2 linked regions of the Saccharomyces cerevisiae S288C genome follow. Changing the gene in region 2 together with the main gene of any one other region gives a genetic interaction. Each region holds a gene or a part of one and is shown on either strand. Other genes may lie near its edges.

Region 1 (3,502 bases), 200 kb from region 2:
TAAACTAACGCTCCTGCTCTCTTTCATATATCAACAGATAGGTCTGTTGATTGATTCAAATAAATTTATTTTCCTTATGTGCGCCATAATTATATGACCCTATAAGCTGCCGATAGCGGATTTTCTGTTCTCTATGGGAAACTCTGTAGTTTTCTTTTTTTTAGTTTAGTTCGTTCCCAAAAATGGAAGAACGTCAAAACAGTGATCTACATTAAGCTGAGGCGAAAACACTAAACGAGGAAAGTTATACGATGGCACAGGAACAAAATAGAAAGTATGTATGACGTTGAAGGCTGATTAAAGCATTGAAAGGGGAAAAATACTTGTGAACTAAAAAATGTACATATTACGATGTCGAAATATAAGGAAGTAAAAATGCTGTCCGGTTCTTTTGAATAGGAGAAAAAATAAACAGAACATAGTCGGGAACTTCGAGAAAAAAAGTAAGAATTGAAAAATGCATATGAACGATCAGATTGACATTCAAATTCTACGTATCACTAAAGTTTAGCCTTCTTTTTAGAGGAAAACAAGTTAGCTATTTTGGACATGAATTGTTTGAAGGTGCTAATCGGGTATTTCATGCTTGCTTGGAATTCCTCCTTTTCAATATCAAATTGTTTTGAATCCGAAGTATCTAAGATATCTTCAACATCGTCAGTATGTGGTAAAGTTTCAGGATCAACATGGCCCGGTGTGATTGGAATCGAGGTGCTTCTACCTTTAAACGCAAATCCAGGGTGGAAGATGGTCAAAGTGACCGTAGCGATGGCCATCATTAATGCATCTAAGATAATAAAATACCACTCGTGTGTGATCAGATAGCCATCCCAACCGACAACTAATTCAGCCAAACGGTAACAACAACGGGTAAAAATGGTTAGTACCGCAACGGTTATTGCCAGATTAAAATAATGAAAAACCCAACGTTTAGGTTCGAGTCTCAAAAAATGGAACTTTTCCCTGTATAAATAATCAACTTCTGTTTGCGATATCTTTAAGAGGCTCAATGAGATAGGTCTAGAATTTATGTGTTCCCATCTTACCGATATATATATACGGAAAAGGAAGTGAAACCATAACATAAGAAAGATGGCCATCGATGCAACTTGAATGGCCAAACCAGCAATGAAAACATGATTGCCGGTTGTTGTGGACGTTCCATCTGTGACCGCCACACCACACAGGCCACCGCCTACAGCTTGCACCACAAGCGATACGATATCGGAACATATGAAAATAAAAGAATACGCCATTGGAGAGGGCAATAAAGAGAACCTGTGGCCGTATACTTCTATAAGCTTTGCAAGTTGATAATAAATACCACCCATTGTGAAAACTGGTGCAATAGTCAAACAAATCATGTTCAAAAGAAAAGCGTCCATATCGGCGACATTAGAATGCGACCACGTCCTCCCTATAAATCCAAGAACTTCCAAAATACCTGTGCATATAAAAGCGATTGAAAACCAGTATTGGCGCATCAGTAACTGTACGACATGTATTGTCAGTAGTATACCCCAAATGACAATCATCGTGATATTAAAACGAAGGTTCGGTACCATACCACCATAAAGGGAATTACTGTTAGCTGCTGCTTCTAACTGTGGCAAAAGACTGCCTAACGTATTATTTGTTGCGTTGGACATTTTGAATTTCTCAACGTCTATAATCAGAAAAAAAGTACTGTGAGAAATCTATTTTAGAACAACCAGCAGTAATTAGTTACGCCCTTAGTATACTATTGCTTGAACTGCTAGGAAACCAGAGTTTACGTAGAAAAGTAATGAATTTTAAGTCTACTACTGAAAGAAAAAAAAAAAATACTTTACTGTGCAAGCGACAAGGAAAACTCTTCTTATTTCTATTGATTCTGGGGTCGACTGCAAATAATAAACCTTATATAGTGTTTTGCCCATCAGCTCAACTGTTTTAGGTGAAAATGGGAGGCACACCAAAGAAAAATAAACAGGGCAAATTAGAGCTCCGTGGGTACAACCGATCAGAATCACACCTATTCCCTTTTAGAGAGCGAGATAGCGAGAAAAAGTCAAGAGCTTTTCGACATTTGCGGAAAAATTACGGGGGATGCTTACGTACAGCTAGGGGGCGACAGAACCCTCAAGGCATGGCCGTGCAGCACTCGCACAGGACTTGGTGCAAGAAGTTCGGTTACTAATGAGAATGTCAACTATCGGAGCTGCCACAACTACTAGGCAACGTCGTTTTCCAGTGGTCCCTGACATATCAATTGCCGCACTGTCACTGTGCGCAAATATAATAGGAAACAGAGGACCGACGGAGACCATATCTTTCCGCGGAAAAAGAGTCCGAGCGAAGTCCGGAAGGAAATATGACGGAGCAAGAATGCTTCCGCGGATGTAAAAGATTGTGCTATGCTCTGGATTGCCCTCTCGGAGAGTTTTGTTGGTTTGTTTCACTGAAGCCATTGATAATAAACTCTTTATTGGGTGATGACGAGGCTGAGCACCAAAAAACCTAAAAGGAAACCAAAAGTTTAACTCATTAAATAAGTTGTGACTATATTTCAACACGCGCTCTAATAAATATAGCCTTTCTTTTAGCTTTTCTATAAAACTAGATAAAAATAGTAATTTTTGAGAGTACTTAAGGCAACAGAAGGAGTGAGTAAAAATAAAAAAGAAGCGTGGATGCGCTCAGCCTTGTAAGAAATTGTCCAGGACATCTTGAAATTTACCATGAGAAGCCTTGTTTGCTTTGCCTAAGATTTCTTCGGCGGTTTTGTAAGCTTCTTCTTGTTCAGCACTTTCATTGTCAAGCAGGTTACCTAGGTCAATATATGCTTCGGCGACTTGAACCCAGGTGTCCGGATCATCCTCCAGTTTAGCCTTTTCCAAGTATTCTAAAGCCTTTTTTGTGTGCTTCAAAGCGGTTTCTTGGGCGTTCTTGGCTTCCTTGTCGCTAACCTTTTCAGAACCGCCATCATCGTACTGTAGGCTTAAGAAAACTTTACTTGGTTCTTCAGCTTTTTTTAGGTATAGTTCCCCTAGGGTGTTAGCTATTGATGCATAGATTTTCACATCTGTATTTGTGTTGTCAAGCAATTTATCAAAATGGTTTCTTAGCCACTCGTAATTCGCTTCTAGCGATTGTTGTAGGGGATATACAGGGTGTTCTGGTTCCAACTCAATATCAATGAGTTCCTCTTCCTCTTCATTATCGCTATCTATGCCCTCTTGAATAGATTGTTCGCGACCAAAATTCTCGACGATGTCCAATAAGTCATTCACCATTTGTAGGATTTCAAAAGTAAATTCAGTATCGTTTTCATAAATTGAAAAATGCTTCTTACCATGTTCAAGCTGTCCTACAAGATCAAGTTTTTTATCCTTCGATTTCAAATGGAGATTGGAAATATATTCCAACGGAATCCTTTGGAAAATTATCTTTGCTAAAACTAGTTTTAGAAATTGGGATTCAGGGAAATGCGAAAGACCTAATTCGACTCTTTCGATAGCAC
Region 2 (7,136 bases):
ATAGCAAGAGGGATCGACTGGCTCCCTCACTCGACTAAGATGACGTTCAGGGCCTGATGAGTGCTCCTTCGACTTGACCTTCTTCCATTCGTCGAACGATAAAAATGAATTACTCGAATCGCCCGGATTCCTTGGTGTTGCAGGCTGTGTTAGTGCATCTTGCTCTTTCCTCTCACCGTTTTCCCGTATGTCAGCCTGCCGTATGTCAACTTTAGAGGCCTGTCTAAAATCATGGGTTCTTAAAGAACCGGTGGATAGTGGTGAGGAATGTTCTTTCTGCACGTTCGTTGTACTTCCAGTCGTGATCACAGTGGTATCATGTAGACCAATCTTCGCATTTTGAGCAGTTTTGTTCCTATCTAATGCAAAAGATCCGATTATACTTACCCACAAAATAAGGCCGTATATGAGAAGACGGTTCGCCATTCGGACAGATAATGATATAATATATCTTATATTTTAACTATATCCATTGCGTCCTTTCTTTTTAACCGTAAGGCACAGTTAAGAAATAATGTTTTCACACTAAATGCTGATGCCTATAAAAAAAAAGTACCGATGAGATAACCTAGGAATAAAATTCTCGGAATTCTTTCGGACATTGAACTTTGATTTATCAGAGCTGGTAAATTCAAGAAAATTGAAATGTAGAAAGCTCGCTGAATTAAGAAAAAAAAAATAAAAACTTATTATTACGCACCTATATGTAGTGATTATGTATGTTTATTAAAAAAGTCCATCTTGGTAAGTTTCTTTTCTTAACCAAATTCAAAATTCTATTATTTCTTGGAGAGTTTACCGTTCTTTTTAGGCACTCTTGCTAACCAGTAGAAAAAGACACCAGCGATATAATTGAATGCAATATAACAGATGAAGATACCATAATTTCTCCATCTCTCACTGTAGAAAGAATTGACATTAGCTAAGTAATCATTGGTTGTAGATATTTGACAGAAACTACAGGTGTCAGTGGCATTTTCATCAGTTAAGTAACCAGTCTTTGCTAGTTGTAAATATGGTTCCATGTACTGCCCACATGTCATACCGGATGGTGGTGTGAATTCTAGCAATTCGTAATCAGCGCATTTGACGTCTACGTTAGCAACACCAACAGCCAACAGAGCCTGAATGAAATAAGTCAAAGGTGAAACCCTGTACATGAATATCCAAAATCTAGGCATGGCACTTGGGGTAGTCATAACACCACAAAAAGACAAAGACATTGTAAACAACAAAGAGGCTAAGTTAGCTGCACTTTCTGCAACTTGGTTGAATGAAATGACAAGCAGACCCATAGAACCAACATAAACGTAGAAAGCACAAGAGAACAACCAAAATAAAGCACCCCTTTCATGCAACTGGCCAGCTGCAGACGCGTTGGAGTAAAATCCAATTGGATAATAGTAGATAAAATAAGCAATAGTACCTGCCAATATATTCCATGGAACTTCCACGAATATTTGAGCGAAGATAAATGAAATCCAAGAAAAAGTCCTTGAGGGGCGTTCCCTGGCCTCATACAAATCTCTTTGCTGGACAAAAGATGGTAGGTATTGTTGTAGAATAGGATTGAAAATAACCGTAAACATGAACACAGCCAACATTTGATTTTGTAAACCCTGTAGCGAGGTTCCTGCTTTGAAGAAAGTGAAACCGATGAACAATTGATTGAAAATAGTTAAAATAAACTTCGACCATAAATAATCTGGAGATCTCCAATATTGCTGGAATAGACGAATACTGACCAATTTTGTTTGATAAATAATTGATTGTGAAAATTCGTGTTTGTCCTCAGCTGCAGTTATCGAACCTTTCTTTGGTAATTCTCTTTCCATCCAATCTAATTCAGATTGAACGGCCCTGTACTCTTCAGAATTCCTCCAAACTTCGTAATAATCTTGATTTGCATGAGAGCCTGGAGCTGCACCAACAACTTCTAGCATCCATTCAGCTGGGTTGGCGTCAGCAGGGCATTTATGAGCACCATGGCTTTCAAAATAATCGATCATAGTTTTACAACCTTCGCCCAAGTCGCCAAAGTAGACAGTCTTACCACCACGTTGCATAAATAGTAAACGATCGAATTCTTGCATCAAAATAGCAGAGGGTTGGTGAATAGTACATAGAATTGCTTGACCATGATTTGCCAACTTTTTCATTAGCTGACAAATAGACCAAGCAGTTTGAGAATCCAAACCAGAAGTAGGTTCATCTAAAAAGACCAACAGTTTTGGTTTGGCAGTTAATTCAACACCAATGGTTAATCTTTTTCTTTGTTCAACGTTTAAACCTTCACCAGCAACACCAACAACAGCATCAGCATATTTTTCCATTTCAAGAATTTTAATAACTTCTTCAACATATCTGTTCTTTTCTTCAATGGAAACTTCAGCTGGTTGACGTAGGTAAGCAGAAAATCTCAATGACTCCCTCACAGTGGCAGTTTTCAAATGCAAATCTTGTTGCTGACAATAACCAATGGATCTTGGGAAAGATTTATCACGGGGAATACCATTGACCAAGATATCACCAGTTATAACACCCATGGTAACCCTTTCGGCCAAACAATCCAGAAGTGTGGTTTTACCAGCACCTGAAGCACCCATTAAAGCTGTTAAAGTACCTGGTTTAACCCAACCATCAACATTGTTCAAAATACGTCTTGTTTCGGCCTTAATCTGAACTTCGTAACAAAGGTTTCTCCAGTGAAATATAGCCTCTGACTTGGATAAACCAATTTCTCCGTAAGTATCGGATTCCTCTTCAGAGCTTTCTTGTAGCATTTTCCTATCGCTGGATAAGTCACTACGTTCCCCAACGTTTTCGGGGTCATTTGCATTCTTTTCAGTTAGTACACCTCTTTTCTTCATTCTTTTAACTATACTGCGTGGGAAAACTAATATTTCACCTTTTTGTTTAGCACCCTCGTTGTATTCACATAAGAATAGATAGACAAAGAAAAAGAAGACGACATAAGCCATACCAATACCGAAACCACGCCATTTGTCTTTGTGGTAGTATTGATAAGTTCCTCTAATGAAATCATCACCCAGAACATAGTCTTGGCCTGGAACAGCTCCAACCACGGTACAAACAGATTCTGTACTAGAAATGTTTGCATACGCAGGACCACGAGGAACATATTCAGCGCAGGGGAATTTTATACCATGAAACTCGTTAATTAACAAAGATTCGAATAAGTAAGCCAACGGATTGATATACCAAATCCATTTAGACCAACGTAGGATCTTCTTCTTAGGAATAGCAAAACCGGTATACATGGATAGAGCCAACAATAACATAGAAGCGGGAACCATAGCTTCTGACAATGTCTTTGTTAAGGAACCAACACATCTAAACAAGTGAGACATGGAGAAAACCGCGACAATGTTTATTAATAAGTAGAAAAAGAATACACCACCATTTCTTCTAAAGTCTACTAAGAAATAGAAGATTATATTGAAGCAAACAGCGATGATTAACTTTGAGGGTATTTCTGATAGAACTGATGCAAAAGCGTCAGCACTTGGATGGTATAACGAATATGTTCTATGTTTTTCAGTGATTGGTCTGGCCTCATATAACGAAAAGATTTCTAACAGAGAAGAAAATGCATTGAATAGAATTGCAAAAAACATAGCAGAACCACGGAAATAGAATGTAGAAGTATCACCCTTTTTCATGATCTTGAAAAACATTGAACCCAAGATTAAAGCCATACTACAGTTACCCAAAATCATAAATAATGTAAACCCGATATTATTTCGCAGTCTCCACATATTTCTGATTAATAGGTATTTAACTTGCATCATGTAGCTGACAGTATAAGGAGAGGAAGGTCTTGCTCTCTTGGACTGCTTAGCAATGTGGGCTTCCTTAATAGCTTCACGGCTTGCTTCATCGTCATTCAATAATCGTTGGTCGACTTCTTTCATTAGCTCTTTGTAATTTGGAGATTTTACCCAGTAATCGTTCATTTCCTTCGGGGTCTGTGGTATATGAATACCTTTTTTTAGCATATCTTTGTTCAGGGTTCTCTCAGAGGGACTTGTAACTGAGGTCAAAAAATCTGCGGTGGTTTGTCTGCTTGGACAAACATACCCCATATCTTCAAAGTACTTCTTGGCCTTATCGGCGGGGCCATAGTAGATCTGATAACCATCATCCAAAACACAGACTTTATTGAACAAGTCGTACGCATCTTGAGAACATTGATAGATGGCCACTGTGGCAGATGTATTGGAAATATCAGCTTGAGTCTTTAAGGCACGAATAAATTCCAAAGCGGTAGCGGAATCCAAACCCCTTGTAGCATTATCCCAGCATTGAAATTTGGATCCACAGATGGAGACTTCAGCAATGGAGACACGCTTCCTTTCACCACCGGAAACACCTCTGACGATGTCGTTACCAACTTTTGTATTCCTTGTATGCGATAAACCGTACGTTGCCATTGCTACTTCCGCCAAATGATTCGCATAACTTTCCCTATCGACACCCTTGATACGGTTCTGTGGGGTTTTCAACCTCGCTACTGTAACCAAAGTTTCGAAGACTGTTAAATGAGGCAGATGTACATCAGCTTCTGCGTTGTAAACAACTTCACCACGAAAATGTTTCTTAATATCATCACCTGAGTAGCCGCTGTAAGAAATTTTAGTATCTGCACCAAGATCAAAACCATGAGTATTTGAAGAGATGGATTTTAATAAAGTAGTACAGCCAGAGCCTGGTCTACCTAAAACGACTAGCAATTCACCTGGGTTTAGGCAACCATCCATTGGTTTCAAGATTTGGAAAGTATTGGTTTCTTTAGAACGTTGAAACTTTCTCAGCCCACTTTTTAGGATTTTGTATGGAATATTAACCACAGTTGACTGATAGGCGACATCTGCGGAAGCACCAGAAGCACTTAAGTTCTTCCAAGCGCAACCTAAGGAATAAGGCTTATAAAAGTCAGGGTCTGCCGCACTTAGGTGAGCCATATTCTTAACCCAGGCGGCACTAGAAAAATTTTCGGAGTTGGGGTCCAATTTTGGGTCATAGCCTGGAGCTTCAGGATCAGAGAATATCGGGTTTACACCTTCCACACCGCTAGAAAATATAGACTGAGCATCACTTTTGTTGGGTGCCGATTGAGTGGAGTTTTGCATACTCTGTGCGGTCAGAGTCCTTGCCAGTTTTTGGATTCGAGCTTCTGTATGCTCATCGAACCCATTATAATTGTGTAGATCAGCAGCGTTTTCAGTAGAAGAAGACGCGGAGGAGTAGCTAGTAACGTCGTTGACGTTATTGTTAAGCTTGGCCTCGGGCATTTTTGTCTAAAGTCTTTCGAACGAGCGGATACGAAAACTTAAAAGGGTCTTTAATTTCTTTTTCGAAAGTTCCTAGTTGCCAATTTATTTATAATTAGAATAACAAAGTCGAGTGATAACTAACACAGTTGTTATATGTTTGCAACTTTGCGTGACTTTTTTCTTTTGGATTTCATTCTAAGGTATGATAATAAAAGCGAACAGCCATAAGGTTATGCACATCACAATTATATATGTATAGGAGAGGCCTTGTTTGTATTGCTCAGATTACGTTCAACAGATATCGTACCACGGCGTAGAAGAGTTCCGCGGAGACATTTCTCTTTTTTTAGCACATTACCATAAGTAGGAATACAGATCTGACCTTTCCACGGAATCACGAGTCCAAAGGGTGCTGAATCGTGATCACGACCCGCGGGTGAGCCCACACTCACCGGAGTCTTAGTAAATCTGAAAATGTTGTGGCACCGCGGCATGAGCGATTCCGCGGAAAGAGAGGGGCAGTCTTAAGTTTCAGTCCACTCGTTCCGTGGGAAGCAATCGACCGAATGGTTCTCCACGGACGTTTTCTCGGCGGCAAGGTTGTGTCGTGATAATCGTTGCATAGATGTGATGGCTTCCTGCAACTTATCCTGTGCTCGAAGGCGCAGAATGCGAACGTTCGCGCTGAGGAACGTTCATGTTCTTTTATTAGTAAGATCATACGTGTGGTGTTGTTTTCCATTGAGTTCCACTCCTGATTGTGTGAAGTGATAAATGTTGTGTACTATGTAAGGGACTGCGCCAACGAGGTGCTGCTTTCTATTATGGCAAATTGTTGCGAGTATGGCTTAATTGTTTATTGTAATAGGTAATTTGATGTTCTTTTTTTTCTTTGATTTGAACTTTTGTTCTCTCTCTCAACTTTTTCTTTTCTTTGTCCTTGTTGATTAGATTGTGACGATAATTTCCTTATAATATCATTGTTGGAATCAAAGAGGAAGACATATTTACGTTAACGAACAAGTTCAGTGAACCATCTAAACATAGAAAGGGGTCCCAGAGAACGCTTCCTTTGTATGATATCTGAAATTTGTCTACTGCATTCAGGCTTATATATATGTGTGTGGTAGCGCCCAACGGAGAACCGTATATGACGGACTTTACTGTGTCACATTTCAGAAAAACAATAAGTGTTTTTCCCTTCCGTAAATAGCACATATTCATTCCTATATCGCCTCTCTGTTTTATGCTCTTTTTTCCCGGGCATTTATTATTACCCGGTATTTCCAAAGATGCGGTTACTGCCCGCGGGTATTGGGCCTCCCTTAATATGCATCGATTTTACTGTTTAAAATCGTACAAAAGATAATATGTGGAAACAACTTTCCTAAGCAGCGAAATACACGTGCAAGAGCAACGTTATATCATTTCGATTTCATTTAATTTGATCTGGCTCGACATTAGTATTTCAAATCGAGGATAAGATTTTTGTAGTGCTCTTTTTTTCTATCTTTTAGCTAAGGTTCCTAACGTTCTTTCTGCTGTGCTTCACTCCACCATAGAAAACTAATGTTTAATTTAATTTTATGGCCCTTATTTTTGCTTACCTCAGTTGCCATTCCTTTGCAGCTGACATTAGAAGTGGTCTATCTGACGTCTTCCGTTGACTTCTCAAAGGCAAGTGCTGCTAAAACCGCTACTTCTTTGGGTCAGTCCCCAGTTGTCATCACCATTTATAAATCACTGTTAAAATATTGGAGTCTTTACGAGTTCATACATTTTATTTACCTCTATACTCCTATTGATGCCTTTCTGAATTTCTTACCATTTACCTCTTTA

The links. Genes that interact genetically often act in the same process or in processes that back each other up.
Region 1: of PDR5 (region 2) and RSB1, a mutation in one rescues a mutant of the other (synthetic rescue), as found in Saccharomyces cerevisiae (2 studies listed by BioGRID, with this or other methods).

What each region holds. Positions count from the first base shown.
Region 1 is NC_001147.6:422,168-425,669, forward strand, and holds RSB1 (phospholipid-translocating ATPase RSB1), read right to left. Parts: upstream 1,566-3,502; coding exon 501-1,565; downstream 1-500. Other genes in the region: ETT1 (Ett1p), read right to left, coding at 2,679-3,502. UniProt on the Saccharomyces cerevisiae protein: Catalyzes the ATP-dependent translocation of sphingoid long-chain bases (LCBs) from the cytoplasmic site toward the extracytoplasmic side of the membrane (flip-flop). Involved in the establishment of the functional lipid asymmetry of the plasma membrane.
Region 2 is NC_001147.6:618,019-625,154, reverse strand, and holds PDR5 (ATP-binding cassette multidrug transporter PDR5), read right to left. Parts: upstream 5,316-7,136; coding exon 780-5,315; downstream 1-779. Other genes in the region: SLP1 (Slp1p), read right to left, coding at 1-426; ATG40 (Atg40p), read left to right, coding at 6,867-7,136. UniProt on the Saccharomyces cerevisiae protein: Active efflux of weakly charged organic compounds of 90 cubic Angstroms to 300 cubic Angstroms surface volume.